2 linked regions of the Tamandua tetradactyla genome follow. The protein of the gene in region 2 interacts with the protein of the main gene of each other region in a pairwise test. Links are inferred from orthologs where the notes say so. Each region holds a gene or a part of one and is shown on either strand. Other genes may lie near its edges.

Region 1 (7,388 bases), on a different chromosome or scaffold from region 2:
TGGTAACTTTCTAGCCATAGGCTCCCCTCTTTTCTCAGCCTCTGGTTTATAAAGGACCGAGGATGAAACCTCTTGTCATCTCTAAGGCTCCTTACTCTTTGACCAATGAGCTACCTACAATACTGCCACCATACTACCCATAATGATACGGATGGGAGGCAAGAAGGAAGGGGCCAGAAGGGCTGACTACTTTGATGGTAAACAGGTTGTAGTAAGCAAATCCTGAGTAAACGAGGGAGTGGGCACTGTGCTCACAGCCAAAGCCTTGTGCACCAGCTACTGAGTCAGGTTCTTCTATATTCGGAGCCAGAGGGGAGCTGTGAGGACTTGGAGTCACAGAGGCCCAAGACTACCACAGGAACAATTTCTGGCTGTGGGATTTGAGGGGGGTGGGTGGGAAGGGAGTCAAGAAGTCCCTGCTGCTTTTGCCCAATGGGACATTACTGCCCTGCATTCAGTGCCTGCCAGGTATGGCTCAACTTACCCTAGCCTTTTTTGCCAAACTTGAAACACTGGCCTGGCATTCAGACCCCTTTCAGGATAGCAGACGTAATTTCCTTTTTGTCTTAACCCAATAAGGGCTATATTTTCCCTTCCTATGGTATTTCTTATAAGTAGAAATATGCTTATTGTATAAAAAGCACACACAATACAGAAGTATATAAAGAAAAGATTTAATGTTCACCACCACCACAAAACACACATACCCACATATCCCTTCCTGTTTTTATTCCCAGAGTTTGATGTATATGCTTCCAGCTTAAACACACACATTCACACTTTTTTTCTTAAGAAATAGAAAATCATAGCATACATGTGTTCTACAACTTATTTCACTCAACAATACATCGTGGTATTGTTTCCATTTCTGTATGTAGGGATCTACTTGATTCTTTTTAGTTGATGTATAATTCTCCACACTATGTATATAATACTTAATTAATTATTCCTTTATTGAGGAGTATTTAGGTAGTCCCCAGTTTTTTCATTCTTACATAACAATCAGCAATCGAATTACTTGAACCTAACTTGGCATATTTTTATGAGCATATCCATGGGCAAATTCCTTGGACTCCATTCTCTCATGTACGAGTTAGAATTGCTGGGTCAAGTGGCATTCGCTTTTAAACTTTCATAAATGTTATCAACTTGCCCTTCAAAAAGGTTGTGCCATTTTACAGTCCCATCAATGGTACATGAGTGTGAGCAGTGTTTACTTTATCTGAGATTTGACTGGAACAGCTTGAAGATATTTGTTTTCTTTTATTTCTGTTGCTACAAGCCCTTTCCTAGAGCCCCTCACTTGGAGCCAAGGAAGAACTGCAACTCATGTTGCCATGTAGAGTAGGAGAAAGAATACAGAACTGAGAGTGGGAGACGTGGTTCTTAGGACCATCTCTATGAGATACTGGGCAGGTTACTTCAAACCCCTGGAGCTCCATTCTGTCATCTATGAAATGTGGAGCATAATAGTTGCCATGGTAAAGTGTTGTGATGGTTGTGAGGGTCAGAGGAGATAGATTCAAAAGTGGTTTGTATCCTGAGAAGGAGGATGCACATGCCAAGTCGTTATTATGGTAGTGTTTGCTATTAAACCTTAAATCAATGAGCCTGGGAAAGGGAGCAGGGGACAATGGAAGTTGAGTGAGAAAATAATACAATGAAATCTTTAAAACATTTAAACTTAAAATCCGTTCCCTAAAAGTCCCCATGCTATTGTCCTATACTCTTTTTTATACATTTATTGTTCCCCTGAAGGGGGAGCACCGTTCCTGGAAGTACTGCGATACCAGGTCGATGCGTGGAGTGGACGGAGCAAGCTCTTATTCCATCTCCCAACTCCAAAAATCCATTTAATATCTTGTCCTCAGATACAGATGTATCAGATATTAAACTGATAAGAACAGATACTACACTTCATCTTAGCCAAAAGGCTGAGAAGTGATGTTGTCCTACACTCTTGAAGAACAAACCACATTGTCAGGTAAGGACTACTTTCTGATAAGTCCAGTCCTCTTTCCAGTATGAACTATGCTTTAATTTATTGAGCACCTAATACGCATTTGGCCACATGCTGGTTTCTGTAATCACCCGAGAGGGAAGAAATCCACACATGAAATATTGAAATAACTGTGTGTGGTGACTGCACATACAGCACTGAGTTATAGCTGAGGTATATGTGAGGATTAGAGTAAAATCAGATTAGATAGGAAAATTGAGTTATATCTTTTTATTTCTTAAAAAAGCATTCTTTTTTAAAATAACCCAAATAAATTCACTTTGCAAATAACATATGTGATATTAAGTAAATTATAGTCATTTAAATCAGTGATTTTTTTATAGATTACTTTTACCATAGTGTAAAAAAAATCAATGATTTGCAGTTACGTTTTTTATTAACCCCAATGTTAATTTTAAAAGATATTTGTAAAATCATTGGGAATAGAACCATCCTGATTTCAACCTATTAATCAGGGAATTTAGGGAGAGGGTTTTGGGTATTTTTACATTAGCAAGGGAGTAACCACCACACACACACACACACACACACACACACACACACACACAATGCCTGATTTCATGAAAACACCAGTCTCATATAGTTTGAGTTTTTAAGAAGATATGTATTTTAACAAAGCCAGTAATACCATGTTTAATTCTTTATAAGAGTGTACCATATCATATTAGAAAAAGCGTGGGTTTTGGACTAAGATCTAGATACAAATCCCACCTCTGCTAACTTTCTACGATGTTCATGTAATACTTACCTAAAAATAAATGCAGCCTGGATTATATGTGGTTAACTGAGTCTTCATCTCCCTTTTCCTGTTTTAGCATAGATTTTAAGGGTTATTATTGTTCTTTTTAAATTCCCAGTATCATCCCAAATTAAAGGGAGGCATTCCCTTCCCCAACTGCCTGAGAAATTATCTGTGACGAATCTAGAGGCCTTTTGGGTAACTTTTCCTAAAACAAGTTTGGCAGATATATTAATTCCCCCTCAGTCTTGAAATGTACTTTGTTGGCATCATGGAGGCAATGATTGCTGGATATTATGCAGTGTTGAGAAAATTGGATAAAAGTGCACTGGGGTGGGTCATGACCCATTTTGACAAGTTAAGAATGTGAAGATGTATTTATCTTTATAAAAAAACAAGTTTGAAAGTGAAAAGGGAAAAATCACCTATAATCCTAGTACATTTAACAACTATTATAAATTTTACGTTCTCTTCCAATCTTTTTCAGTGAGCATTTTGAATCATTATAATTTGAATGCACTTATTATTTTGTGTTATTTTTTCATTTTCTTCTGACAACTTACTGTCTCTTTAGTGGGATTTACCATAATTAGCATAATTTAACCAAGTTCTGGGGCACTGGTTTTGGAGTAGCAAGACATGATTTTTGGAGTTTGGTTTTATAAGACTTTGGATACCTGCAAACATTTAAACTTTTTCCTGGACAAGAGAAGCCATTGAAGTTTTCAAGGATAGGAGGGACAGGAAGAAGCATATTTTAGTGAAATTAAAAATATATGTATACTCAATTTGAAGTAGATTAATTATTCTTTGTTTGCATAATGCTGTTTTGAAATGTGGGTGTTTCATGTGTGGAAAGGTAGTTTCCCTATCTATAGTGCCATCTCTTTGAATCATACTGCCATCTATGTCTGTCTGAGTTTTGTATGTACTCCAGAGGCTCAATCAGTGGAACCTGCTTGCCTGACAGGTGGTGTCCCACATAAAAAACATTTTCCCCAATTAAGAGTGGCCTGTAGCTGGACGGATTTCTTCCCCTGAAAATTCACGTGAAATCCTAGTCTTCCTGAGGGGTCAAAGAAGGCTCATTAAACCCTTTTCCCCTCCCTGTGTCAGGTGCTCCTTTTTCTTGATGACCCCACCTCTGTCTAGACAACCCTAACAATGTGGAAGTTTCCATCCCCTTTTCCTTTCTCCTCTCCTTCAGTTTTTTTTCCCCCCTCTCCCCACCGCTTCCTGCCTGGAAACAAAAGATTGGTCCTCGGTAGCCCACTCAGGGCGATTTTAGTTTTATGCTCATCATCTGATTGGTCTATGTAAGGTGCAGAGCCCGGGTAACGTCATAGCGGAGAAAGGCTAGGGAGCGGTTGCCGAGCTGGGGCTCTACTACTGGCGGGGTACTGTCAGGAGCGAACCGTCTGGGATCTCGCGCAGCAGGCTGCAGCTTTTCCGGGCCTGGAGCTAGTGTGTGGGGGCGGGAGAAGAGCCCGGGGCGGGGAGCGGGCCGGGCCCCGGGCTGCGGCTGCGGCCGCGGGGCTGCAGCTCCCCAGCCCCGCCAGCCGGAGCGCTCAGAGGTAAAGGAAAGGTCTTGACGGGGTGGCTGGACCCGTGGCAGGTAAATTTCGCGACTTATGGCCCCCGGGCTAGCTCGGCGGCTGGGAGCTGCTTTTGGGTTGCTAGGCAGATTTTTTGCCTTCCCGGGTCCCCCTCCCGCCACGCCCGAGTCGAGTCTCATTTCTGACTCCCCTGAGCCCCGAGAAAGCGATAGCAGTTTGCATGATTCCGGTAAGCGAGTGCGGACAAGTGGGTGTGTCCGGGCCGTTCCCGAAGGCCTGGAACCCTCCGTATCGTCGGGAAGCCCTAGGCTAGCTTATTGGGCCTGGGCAAAATCCGCCGCGAAAAGCTCTGTCAGCCTGTAAGTGATATTACCGCCCCCCACCCTCTGCAGCTGCAGCAGCGGCAGCCCTCCGGGGAGGGGAGGGGAGGGGGTATGGCCGCGAGTCTGGTTAAGTCAGGGGGCAGAAGAGCCCAACCCAAGCAAACAGAAAAAGTGACGATTTTCTTAACCGGCTCCTTTCCTCCACCCTTTTATTTTTATTTATCCCGCTCCCTTTTTTTGGTTGGGGCCAGGTAAAGTCAGGAGGACTCTTTTCTTCCCTGTGGGGATGGAATGATGCGATAACGCCCCTAGAAAGCCCGGGGCCCGGGGCCCCTCAGTTGGCCTTTGTCTTTGTCTGGGGCCATTAGGACCACTGCCTTCTCCTTTCTTGCCCCCCTCGGCTCCCAGGGGTATTGCCCTCAAGTCTGTGATCTGGCTCTGGCAAGATTCCTGCAGCACTTTTGGGCAGATTGATTGAACATTTTAGATTCTTGTTCTCTCATATTTTTTCCCTTCCATAGGTGATGGTTGGGGTGGGGTGGGGTAATGGGAGATGGGGGTGGGAGGGCTGTTGCAAAGAGTAGGAGTCAGAGCCCCCTCTTGTTTTTCTGGTCCCACCTTCCAGAATCCAGTACCGGACTCTGGACTTGAGGGTTCTGGGCTGTGGTCTGTAGAAGTGAAGGAGAGAAGGGTGAGTGGCTTAGCTTTGGGAAGCCTGATGGGATTGCAGTGCTATTTTTTTTAAAAAATGGCTTTCACAGGGAAGTCCTTAGCCATGTTAGTCTTCCTCCCCCATGGTTTTACAGACTCAAATCCAGGCCAACTGTGTCTGAGGTGTTGGAACAGAAGGAGGTCCATTCCTGTTGGTGACAGCACTGTGGCTCTGTTCTGGGATGATCAAGGTGTAAAGGTCAGTGCAGTTTTCACTGGGCCATTTGCAAAATTATAATCGGGCAGGGTCTTTCATTTTGTACTTGAGATCTCCAATCAGTACAGGGGCAAAGGGGCATAACATGGTAATAGACAATTCATTGTCCCTGACTTAGAGAGAATGCCACTGAAAACCTCTGTTTCTGGACATAAATATCACAACCCTCTCCTCATGAAAGAGGTAAAATGGGAAGAGACTGGGAAATATGCAGGGTAAAAGCCTACAGCAGAGGATCCTGATGCCAGCAGGACGTTGGGATGTCAGGTAGCAGACTCTCCAAGCCTCCATACAGGCAAGTGGGCCTTGTAGAGGAGAGACTTAAGAGAAAAAGGGGGTTCACGTATGACAGTAGTGCAGGCAGAAAGGGTGGAGAATGGAGTGTCTCCACTTGAGGGGCCATAGCATCTTAGGGATGTTCTGACTAGCTAAGCAATCTTACAGGTTGCAGATTTTCTGGTTAAAGGTGGAAATGGTATAGCACAGACAAGCTCGCTGAGGTTTGGGAGGGGCAGTCAATGGGACAGGTGAGGGAAATGAATAATTGTGGGGGGTGGGGAATTGCTGACATGAGACTACACTAGTCAGAGACTAAGCTTCTATGAAGTCAACGGTAAGAAAATCAGATCTAGAAATCAGTTAAGGGCAAAGCCATAGAGAGTTAAAGACAGAAGAATCAAAAACCATCATTTCACCAAGATCCCAAAGGCCCTCATTGTCCTGGTGAGATGGGGGAATACCTTGGCTGAGGCAGTTGTGGTTTAGCCAGGGATTAGAGGGAAGATGTCTTGATACTCAGGAAGGAAATCAATAGCATTCCCTCCCATGAGCCACCTTCAGGAGTCTTTAGCTTTGGCCCAGTGAAGGAGAAGAAACTCAGTTGAGTGTCAGCTCAACAACTGGTTCTTCCCTCCTGGGTGTAAAGAGAGGGGCCTGGGGAACTGAAGCTCCAAAGAGTAGTGGAGGAGCTTCGAATCAGACCGAGACAGGACGGTTGCTTAATTACATGGATGGGTTAGGACTAGGTCTGTGTTTCCCACTCCAGGCAGAAGGGTGCCTGCCTCTGCTCAAAAACAACAAAACCTCTTCCCAGAGACTTTTGGGGGAGGGGACTGCATGTGGGCAGGGGATAGGGCGGGGAAGGGCGTGGAAATTTGTAAGCTATTGAGGCATCTGGGGTGCAGTTTAAATTTCAGCTGCTCTGTTGTCCCTCAGCCTCTCCACCTTTCCAGGAGCTAGGCGTTTTCCCCTGCAGGACGTGGGGTTGACCGGCCTGCCAACTCTGCACTGCCTAGTGTTTCCAGTAGGGGGTGGGAGAGGGCGTGCAGTAGCGCGCAGGGCCGGAGTCTTCCATTTCAAGTGTGAAGCCCGAGCCTCGGGAGTGAATCCAGTAAAAGCCATACTATTAACATCTGATTTAGAGATACCAGAGAACCAAATGAAATCCTTCCTGGGTCTGGCAAACTCTTTCCGGCCAACCGTTTCCGTTTTACCGCAGAAATGCAGCCCTTCCAATTGCTGTCTGCGGCTTTGGAAGGCATTTGCATTTACAGAAGCGTTGATTACGCGAGTCAATAATACATACAAGACTAAACGGGAATTTAATTGGAAATGTTAATCAGTGCAATGGATCCTTGTCTGATTTGCACATTCGGTCAATTCTCTGCAGGTTGGGGCAATCTGCGCTGCACCCAGGGAATGCGATAAAGTGCAAAATGGCGCAGCTACAGCTGGGTCTGGGGCCGGGAAGCAAAATGGAGGAGGTGGACCTTGAAGACTAGAGATTAACAATTTACTGGTGGGGAAAGGATGTCTTTCCAAA
Region 2 (7,800 bases):
TCAAGGTCCTCAAGTGAGCCTTCTTGGTGGCTCTCTAGTGAGAGCCCAGCAGGCTCTAATGGAACCTGGACCAAGGGAGCTGGTATTAGGACTCCTTCTGACTTTCCAGCCATCATTTCATCTGGTAGTGACCTCATTCAAATATTCTCAACCTGTTCCCTATTTCCTTGTGTCTCTGAGTACGCTTCGGTCTCCAATCTGGAACTCTGTGTCTCCTAGACACAAGGAGATAAATCAGGGTCAACAAAATCAGACTACAAAGGCTGATAAAACCACCCTGATCTCTTGAATCCTGTCCAGACGCAGGCTCCATCAACTTCCAACCTTAACAGAGTTTTTCAAAGTTACTGGAAATCGTTTTTGTTTTCTTCTTGCTGGAACAAAGCTTCAGAAAATGAGAAAATGTGTCAGTGGTTTACCAAAATGGAAAAGGTAGATTCCCAAAACAGAAACAATGAACACTGGCCTTGCTAACTGAAGAATTTCAATTTCATCCATTTTTTTCCATTATGAAGTACTTCACATTATGTTCAAACAAAAAGAAGATATATGAACATGATTTGGGACACAAAGCAATTTACAAAGCACTGAAATAGAGAAGAAAAAATCTGTTCATTTACTTCTAAGCCTCTGTCTTTTCTACCTCTCCCTATATCTTTCAACAAGTGTAAAAGGTACCACTTTAGAAGCTATCACAAAGGTGGAACCTAAGGTTCAAAAAAAAAAGAAAATGCCTGTTAATATCAAGATGAAAAGCTCCTCCATTCAGTATACAGGAACCTTTCAGAATCTAGTAGTGTTGACTCTCAACTGTTTCGATTCTCAGACAGCAGCTCTTCTGAGTAACAAAGGATTATGATACTAGCTACAGTGGAAGAAAAGAAGGGGAGCAATATAAACCACTCCAGGAAAAAAAAAAACAAAAAAAACTTTGCTTCATTTGATTATGGATCCAGAATCCAAAAGAAGGGTTATTTACAGAAAATCACACCCTAGTATTAGTTAAATAAAATTTTAGAAGACTACCTAAAAAATAAAAATATCACCTGTTTCTTCAAATGACAGAAATGACTAATCTACTTCACATTCAGGGTATGTCCTACTAAGTACATTCTCACCATATCAAAAAGTCTAATCCCTATGATGTGATGTAGTCTCTTTTTTAATCCCTGAGGATCATCTCTTTTTTCAGTAACACTCTCCCCAGTTTCTACCCAAAGAACTAATCTCTCCTTAATCTACCTCACAAGAATATTGACATTTAAAATCTCTCCCAATTGAGATTCTTTCAATCTGTTTCCTTAGCAACTAATGACAAGAGAGGTCAACAATTGCTAACATAAACTGTCTGCACTAGTTCTGTGTACCTAGCCATCTCCTTGCTAAGGTTCCCTGGCTCCATTTCCTAGGAGCCATAATTTGATCCTAGATCCTGTAGTTTGGACATTCTTGGAGTACACCATTTCTTCTTATATTTCTACCTGGATACCTGCTCAGTCAATAGGGTGTGTTCATCCCCAACAGTAAGTGGACACTAACCTAGAGTGATAAGGACAAAAAAACAGGAATGCCTTGGATAAAATGGAAATACTGTCAGAGAAAGGTCAGATGAAACATTGTGGGAAAGTAAAACCTTGGGAACAACCTAAATGACCATCAGCAGGGAAATGATAAAATATCATTTATCATTTTATCATTATTTATTATTTATTTATTATTATTTATATATATGGTTTAACCATTCAATGGAATATTGTACAGCCTTGTAAAGAAAAAAGTAGGACTATGTGCGCTGATAAGTATGATCTCATCTGAGGAAATTAAAAATACATACACATAAGCACGTATGACTTGATACATTTACAAACAATGCCTGCAAGAATATCCAAGAAATTAATTGCATTTACTTCTGAGCGGCAGGAACAGTAAGAGTGTGATATATTTCATTTTATATCTTTCTGTATGTTTTTTTCCACTACAAACTAGCATTACTTTCAGGACAACTCAAGAGGAAAACTTCTAAGGCATTTCCCTCTGCCCACAACCTTTCAGAGTGGAAATCGCTAACAGACCCAGGAACCACACTTTCGTTAACTGCTCTAGTTTCTAAAACCAGATACTTTTATAACCCCAGTTTCAAAGAATAGACTCAATTGCCACTGTGCCAGTGCTCAAGGTTTGCTCTGAAAGATGGACCAGTTCCACAATTTACCCAGGTTTATACATCCTATCACTTTTCGAAGATCACCTACCAAATATAAAGCTTACGCCCACCATGTAACAACCTCAATTTACTGAGCATTCACTGCCCACCTGACACTGCTCAACGTTTTACACTCAGCCACACTCAGGCTAAACGCTCGATACGACTTTCTACTGACCCAGTCGTGCCCGTTAACAGCAGCAGCTGTTGCTACGATTTAATTTTACGGGTCAGACACCTCGCAGTTTTCCCTCAGCCAATCCTCCCGATAACCTACCAGGATAAGTACTGTCATTTTCGTTCATGAATAAGTAAACTAAGGCTCGGAAAGAGAGGACCTGCACAAGGTCACAAGGCTGCGAGATAGGGAGCCAGTCAACCGAGTAAAGGAATACCGGGAGTTAGGACCAAGAGCTGAGGCCGACTCCTCCCACCAGACAGGCGTGGCTCAGGGGTCCTAGGAAGGGCCGGAAAATGGGACTTCCGGGGCTCGAGAACTGGAATATGCACCTCTTGGCGCTGAAGTGAGATTCAAGGCCATGTCAGGCCAAGGAGCCCGCAGGCCCCACGGCCAGGGTCTCCCCGTTCCCACAGCCGCCAAGCCTGAGCCGCCTACTCCCAACGAGCGCCAAGGCGCGGAAGCGGGGGACAAGGGAAACGTTCACCTGCGCAGGTGCCACCACGAAAGGCGGTGAGCAGGAGGATGCGGAGTACCGAGAAAAAACTCGAACCCCGCACCTGACTCCGGAAAAGGAACACCTCTCGGGTGCAGAGCTTTGTAGCGCACCGCCGGAACCGGAAACCACGCCTCCCTGCCCGGAAGTTGGGCGTGGAAGGGGAATCGGTCAGCACCGGTGGGAGGCGTGTGCGAGCTCTCTTGGTTTCGGCCTTGCTTCCCAGCCTTGTGATCTTAATAGCCTTTAGTGGTCTTTGGCTGGTGCTGTCTTGCGTTCCTCAGTCCTTCTTCCTACTGTGCGGAATCTTGGGTATAGCCTGAGCAGATTTTTCGCTTTGAGGAAGTTCTCTCTCTTTCTGAGCCGCAGTTTACCCAACTGCAAATGGAAAGAGGTTGAAACAGGAATTGAAATAGTCTAGGAATTTGTTGGTGCCGGAGTCTGTCCCATCTTAAGGTTACACCCTTAAGTCTGCACATCACCCAAAGGAATGAAACCGAAATAGATGAACGGATGCTGTTTGGAGGCAACCGTCCTCTCAGGAACCCGGTGAAATCACTCCAGATAGCCACAGTGGGCATGGTCTATTAAGGAGGACCTAATTCATTGTACCCAGAACAGTGAATATGTACCCGTCGGAGTTTGACACAGTCTGTCCAGGGAGAGACCCTATGTGTGGGGGAGGCTAAATCTTAACTCTATGTTCCTCTTCCCCTGCGCTTTCCAATTGCCATCAGACGGTGCAGTGTAGCCTGACGGTTAAGAACTGAAGCTTTGAATGTACTGACTGGATTTGAGTCTTGGTTTGAGTCCGAGTCTGAGTCTTAACAAGTGGCATAGTGTAAAAACCAAGCATAGGGATGCAACCCGACTTCACCACCATTCACTTCACTGTTGACCCTGAAGAAAAAGGAACATGACTGTTAGGGATAGGCACTCGGAGGTCAACCCACTCTCCTTCCAACAGTCTATCCGAATGGGTTGGACTCAGAGATTAGGAGAAGAACCCAAGCCGCTTTGCTGGGCTATCAGCCCAGAGCCAATGTCCCTGGAGCAGAGAAGATGTACCCTTTGTCTACTCTGCCCTACTGGTCTTTAAATTCCTGGAGGGCCAGGAATTCTAGCTGGTGGTCTAGGAACAGGATGCTGGTGGGCCCTTCCCCCATCACTCCTACAATTATATTTCCACCTTTCACCTCCTCTCTCAGCCTTGGTGTCCGCATTCGTGAAATCAGAGGATTGGACTAGATCAGTAGCTTCCAACTGTCCCAGACATGCTAAGGTTCCTCGGAGAATGCTTCATAAAACTAGGGGGCTGGGGATTAGGCCCCTGGTCACCTCCAATTTTACAGGTTTATAAATTTCTATTGAATTGTATATGTTGTACACAAGATTATTGTACTATTCAGGGTAAAAGTCAAACTTTTTACTTTACCTCATCCCTCTTGTCTTTCCCCACTCTCCTGTTCATTCTGCTCTGGGCACACTGGCATTCTTGTTATTTTGAGAACACAACAAGCTCAACTTCACTCTGTTGCTGTTCTCTGCTTGCAATGCCATTTCCTAAGACCTCTGCATCCAGGTTCCAACTCAAGTGTTGCCTCCTCAGAGAGCAGCCTTTGATACTCACCTGCCCATTCTAAAGGCACCCCTCCGTTCCCTTTCTACCTTGTTATACTGCTTTTGTGATTACCTGTTTATTTTCTATTTCATCTACTATAAACAGAGTACACAAGGTCAAGGACTTTGTCTTCTTATAGCCACCATGTCCCTAGCACCTAAAATTGAGAACATGCTGAATTTGTTGAATGAATGAGTGAATGAATGAAAACAAGTCCTGAATTTTGTGATAAAGTCAACCTGATAAAGACCACCAGGGACACACCTGTAGTTTGACAAAGATAGGTCTACTAACTGGATGCAGCTTGAGAGAGACAGCACACCACAGGAATCCTGGGATGTTTCACAAAATAAAGCAAAAACAAAAACAAAGCAATAAAACAAAACAGTATTATCATTGGATTTTGGGGGAAGGGTGAATTTTAGGTAAAAATGAAATGAAGCACTATTGATAAACTTAAAGCAAACCAGCTCTGAAAAGGGTTAACCTCTGCCTTAGCCTGAGAAGCCAGACTCAAGGTTCGGTTTCCTTGGGTACCACAAAGTTAAGATAAATATAGACTGTTGCATCCCAAACCCACTTATCTGAAGCTGTGCACCTGAACTGGAAACCCAGTTTCGGTGTCAAATCTGGTTCAGACCCACCAGGCAAGACTGGAACATTCCATTCTCATCAACATGATTTCAAACAGCAGCTTTTCTGACAGTCTCTGATTTTAGAGAGCAAGGTTTCTTGGCACTATGTCCTTGGTCTTAATCAGCAGAAGGTTTGACAGATTCATGTTGGGTATGAGTCCCTTGGTGCTTCAGTCACACTGAACCACATTGGCATAGTAGGTCACTACTTGGGTGCCCCTGTTGGCATTCCAACTGGATCATGGGCTCCATAAGGGCCTAGTCTGTGTGTGGGCCATTTTCCTGGCCCCACACTTGTCACAATATACCACTAGGTGCTCAGTCAAAATGACAAAGTAGTTGCGTTAAAGAGGTGAAAGTGTGCACGACTTGTTAAAAATCTGTTCCCAAAATGGAAGTTTCTAAAATGTGATCAGTATTAATGTTTTGACAAAGAAAAGGGAATGAAATAGATGATGTTTTAAGATTAAAAAAGAAATTATTGACACTTATAAAATAAGAACTAAATTATTGATATCATGTGATTAAAAATAGAGCACGGCAACACTGATCCTTTCTCATTGTTTTAAATAATTTATTTTTTTTTTAATTGAGGTAAAATACACTGTCATGGTCAGGTTCATGTGTCAACTTGGCCAGGTGGTGGTACCCAGTTGTCCAGTCGAACAAGCACTGGCCTTCCTGTTGCTTTGAGGACATTTCATGGACTTAAATCATGACCACGTTGGCAGCATCCACAGCTGATTGGAAAGGGGAGTGTCTTTTGCATTGAGCGATGCATAATCTAATCACCAGAAGGCTTTTAAGGAGGATTCAGAAGAGACAATCCCCTTCTGCTTCAGCCAGCCAGCCTCTCCTGAGAGTTCATTAAGGACCTTCATTGAAGCTGCCAGCTCTCGGCCTGCCCTACAGACCTTAGACTCTACATCCCTGCAGTTACATGAGACGCTTTTATAAATTTTATATTTACAGTTATCTCCTGCTTTTTCTGTTTCTCTAAAGAACCCTAGCTAATACATACACATTACCTAAAAGTAAATCATTTTAAGTAGAAATTTATTTGACACTAAATACATTGACAATAATGTGTAACCTTCACCACTATTACCAGACTTTTTTCGTCATCTACAACCAAAACTCATACTCATTTAGCAATAACTCCCCATCCCCCCTGTCCCCCCACCCAGTAACCTCTATTCTGTTTTCTGACTCTGTGAATTTGTTTATTCTAAGTATTTCATGCAAGAGCAGTCATACAATATGTGTCCTTTTGTGTCTGGCTTATTTCACTCAATATGATGTCTTCAAGGTTCATCCAGTTGTAGCATGTACCAGCACTTCACTTCTTTTTATGGCTGCGTAATATTCAAGTTTATGGATACACCTCATTTTTTTAATCCATTCATCTGTTGATGGACACTTGGGTTGCTTCCGCCTTTTGGCTATTGTGAATGCTGCAGTGGACATTGTACAAATATCTATCTGAGTTCCTGTTTTCAATTCTTTAGGGTATATACCTAGGAGTAAAATTGCCAGGTCATATGGTAATTCTATATTTAACTATCTGAAGTAAAAACAAGCTGCTTTCCACAGTGGATGTACCATTTTACATTCCCACAAGCAATGAATTAGGGTTCTTATTTATCTGCGTTTTTGCCAATGCTTAGTTTCAACTTTTTAATAATAGCCACCTAGTGGGTGAGAAGTGGTATCTCATCATTTTAATTTGCATTTCTTTAATGACATTGAGCACCTTTCAAATACTTATAGACCATTTGCATCTTCTTTGGAGAAATGTCTATTCAAATCCTTGGGCCTATTTTTTAATTGGTTTATCTTTTTGTTTTTGAGTTGAAAAAGAGTTTTTTTATATATTTTGGATGTAAACCCTTATCAGATACGTGGTTTCCAAATATTCCCTCACATCTAGACCGTCTTTTCATTTGTATAATAACATCCTTTGATGCACAAAAGTTTCTAATTTTGATGAAATCCATTTCCTTTTTTTCTATTTCTTACTTTTTTTTTGCTTGTGCTTTTGGTGTAAAATCTAATAATCCATTGTAATTAGTCCATTGCTGCCCCCCTTTTTGTTTTTAGTTGCTTTTTTTTTCTAGTGTACTGTTTTGATTGCCTTCTTCTTTCCTTTTTGTCTCTATTTTTCAGTTATTTTTCTCAGTAGTTACCTTTATAAATCCAATTAATACCTTAAACTAATAACAACCTAGTTTAACTAGTACTAATCTAGTTTCAGTAGTGTATAAACTCTCTACTCCCATATATCTCTGTCCCTCTCCTTTATGTTATTATCTTAGATTACACCTCTATACATTATATTCCCATTAAAATAGATTCAAAATGTTATTTTACACATTTGCCTGTTAAGACAAATGGGTAGAAGGGGAAGCAGTTATAAACCCAAAGTACAATAATACAGGATTTTACATTTACCAATGTAGTTACTTTTACCTCTGTTCTTTATTTCTTCTTATGACTTCAAGTTACAGTTTTATTTCATCCTGAATGACTACTTTTAGCATTTCTTGTAGGAAAGGTCTTCTGGTAAAGAACTCTTAATTTTTCTTTATCTGTAAATGTCTTGATTTTTCCTTCTTTCAAAAGAAGATAACTTTGCTGGATGTAGAATTCTTGGGTGACAGGTTTTTT

The links.
Region 1: the proteins of CDC42 (region 2) and PAK3 interact in a two-hybrid assay, tested with the Homo sapiens proteins (2 studies listed by BioGRID and IntAct). The link is inferred for Tamandua tetradactyla from reciprocal best matches to the Homo sapiens genes CDC42 and PAK3.

The regions. Positions count from the first base shown.
Region 1 is NC_135353.1:59,218,382-59,225,769, reverse strand, and holds the start of PAK3 (serine/threonine-protein kinase PAK 3), read left to right. Parts: upstream 1-4,290; 5' UTR 4,291-4,374; intron 4,375-5,444; 5' UTR 5,445-5,548; intron 5,549-7,388. UniProt on the Homo sapiens protein: Serine/threonine protein kinase that plays a role in a variety of different signaling pathways including cytoskeleton regulation, cell migration, or cell cycle regulation.
Region 2 is NC_135328.1:204,406,203-204,414,002, forward strand, and holds the start of CDC42 (cell division control protein 42 homolog), read right to left. Parts: upstream 3,004-7,800; 5' UTR 2,869-3,003; intron 1-2,868. UniProt on the Homo sapiens protein: Plasma membrane-associated small GTPase which cycles between an active GTP-bound and an inactive GDP-bound state. In active state binds to a variety of effector proteins to regulate cellular responses. Involved in epithelial cell polarization processes.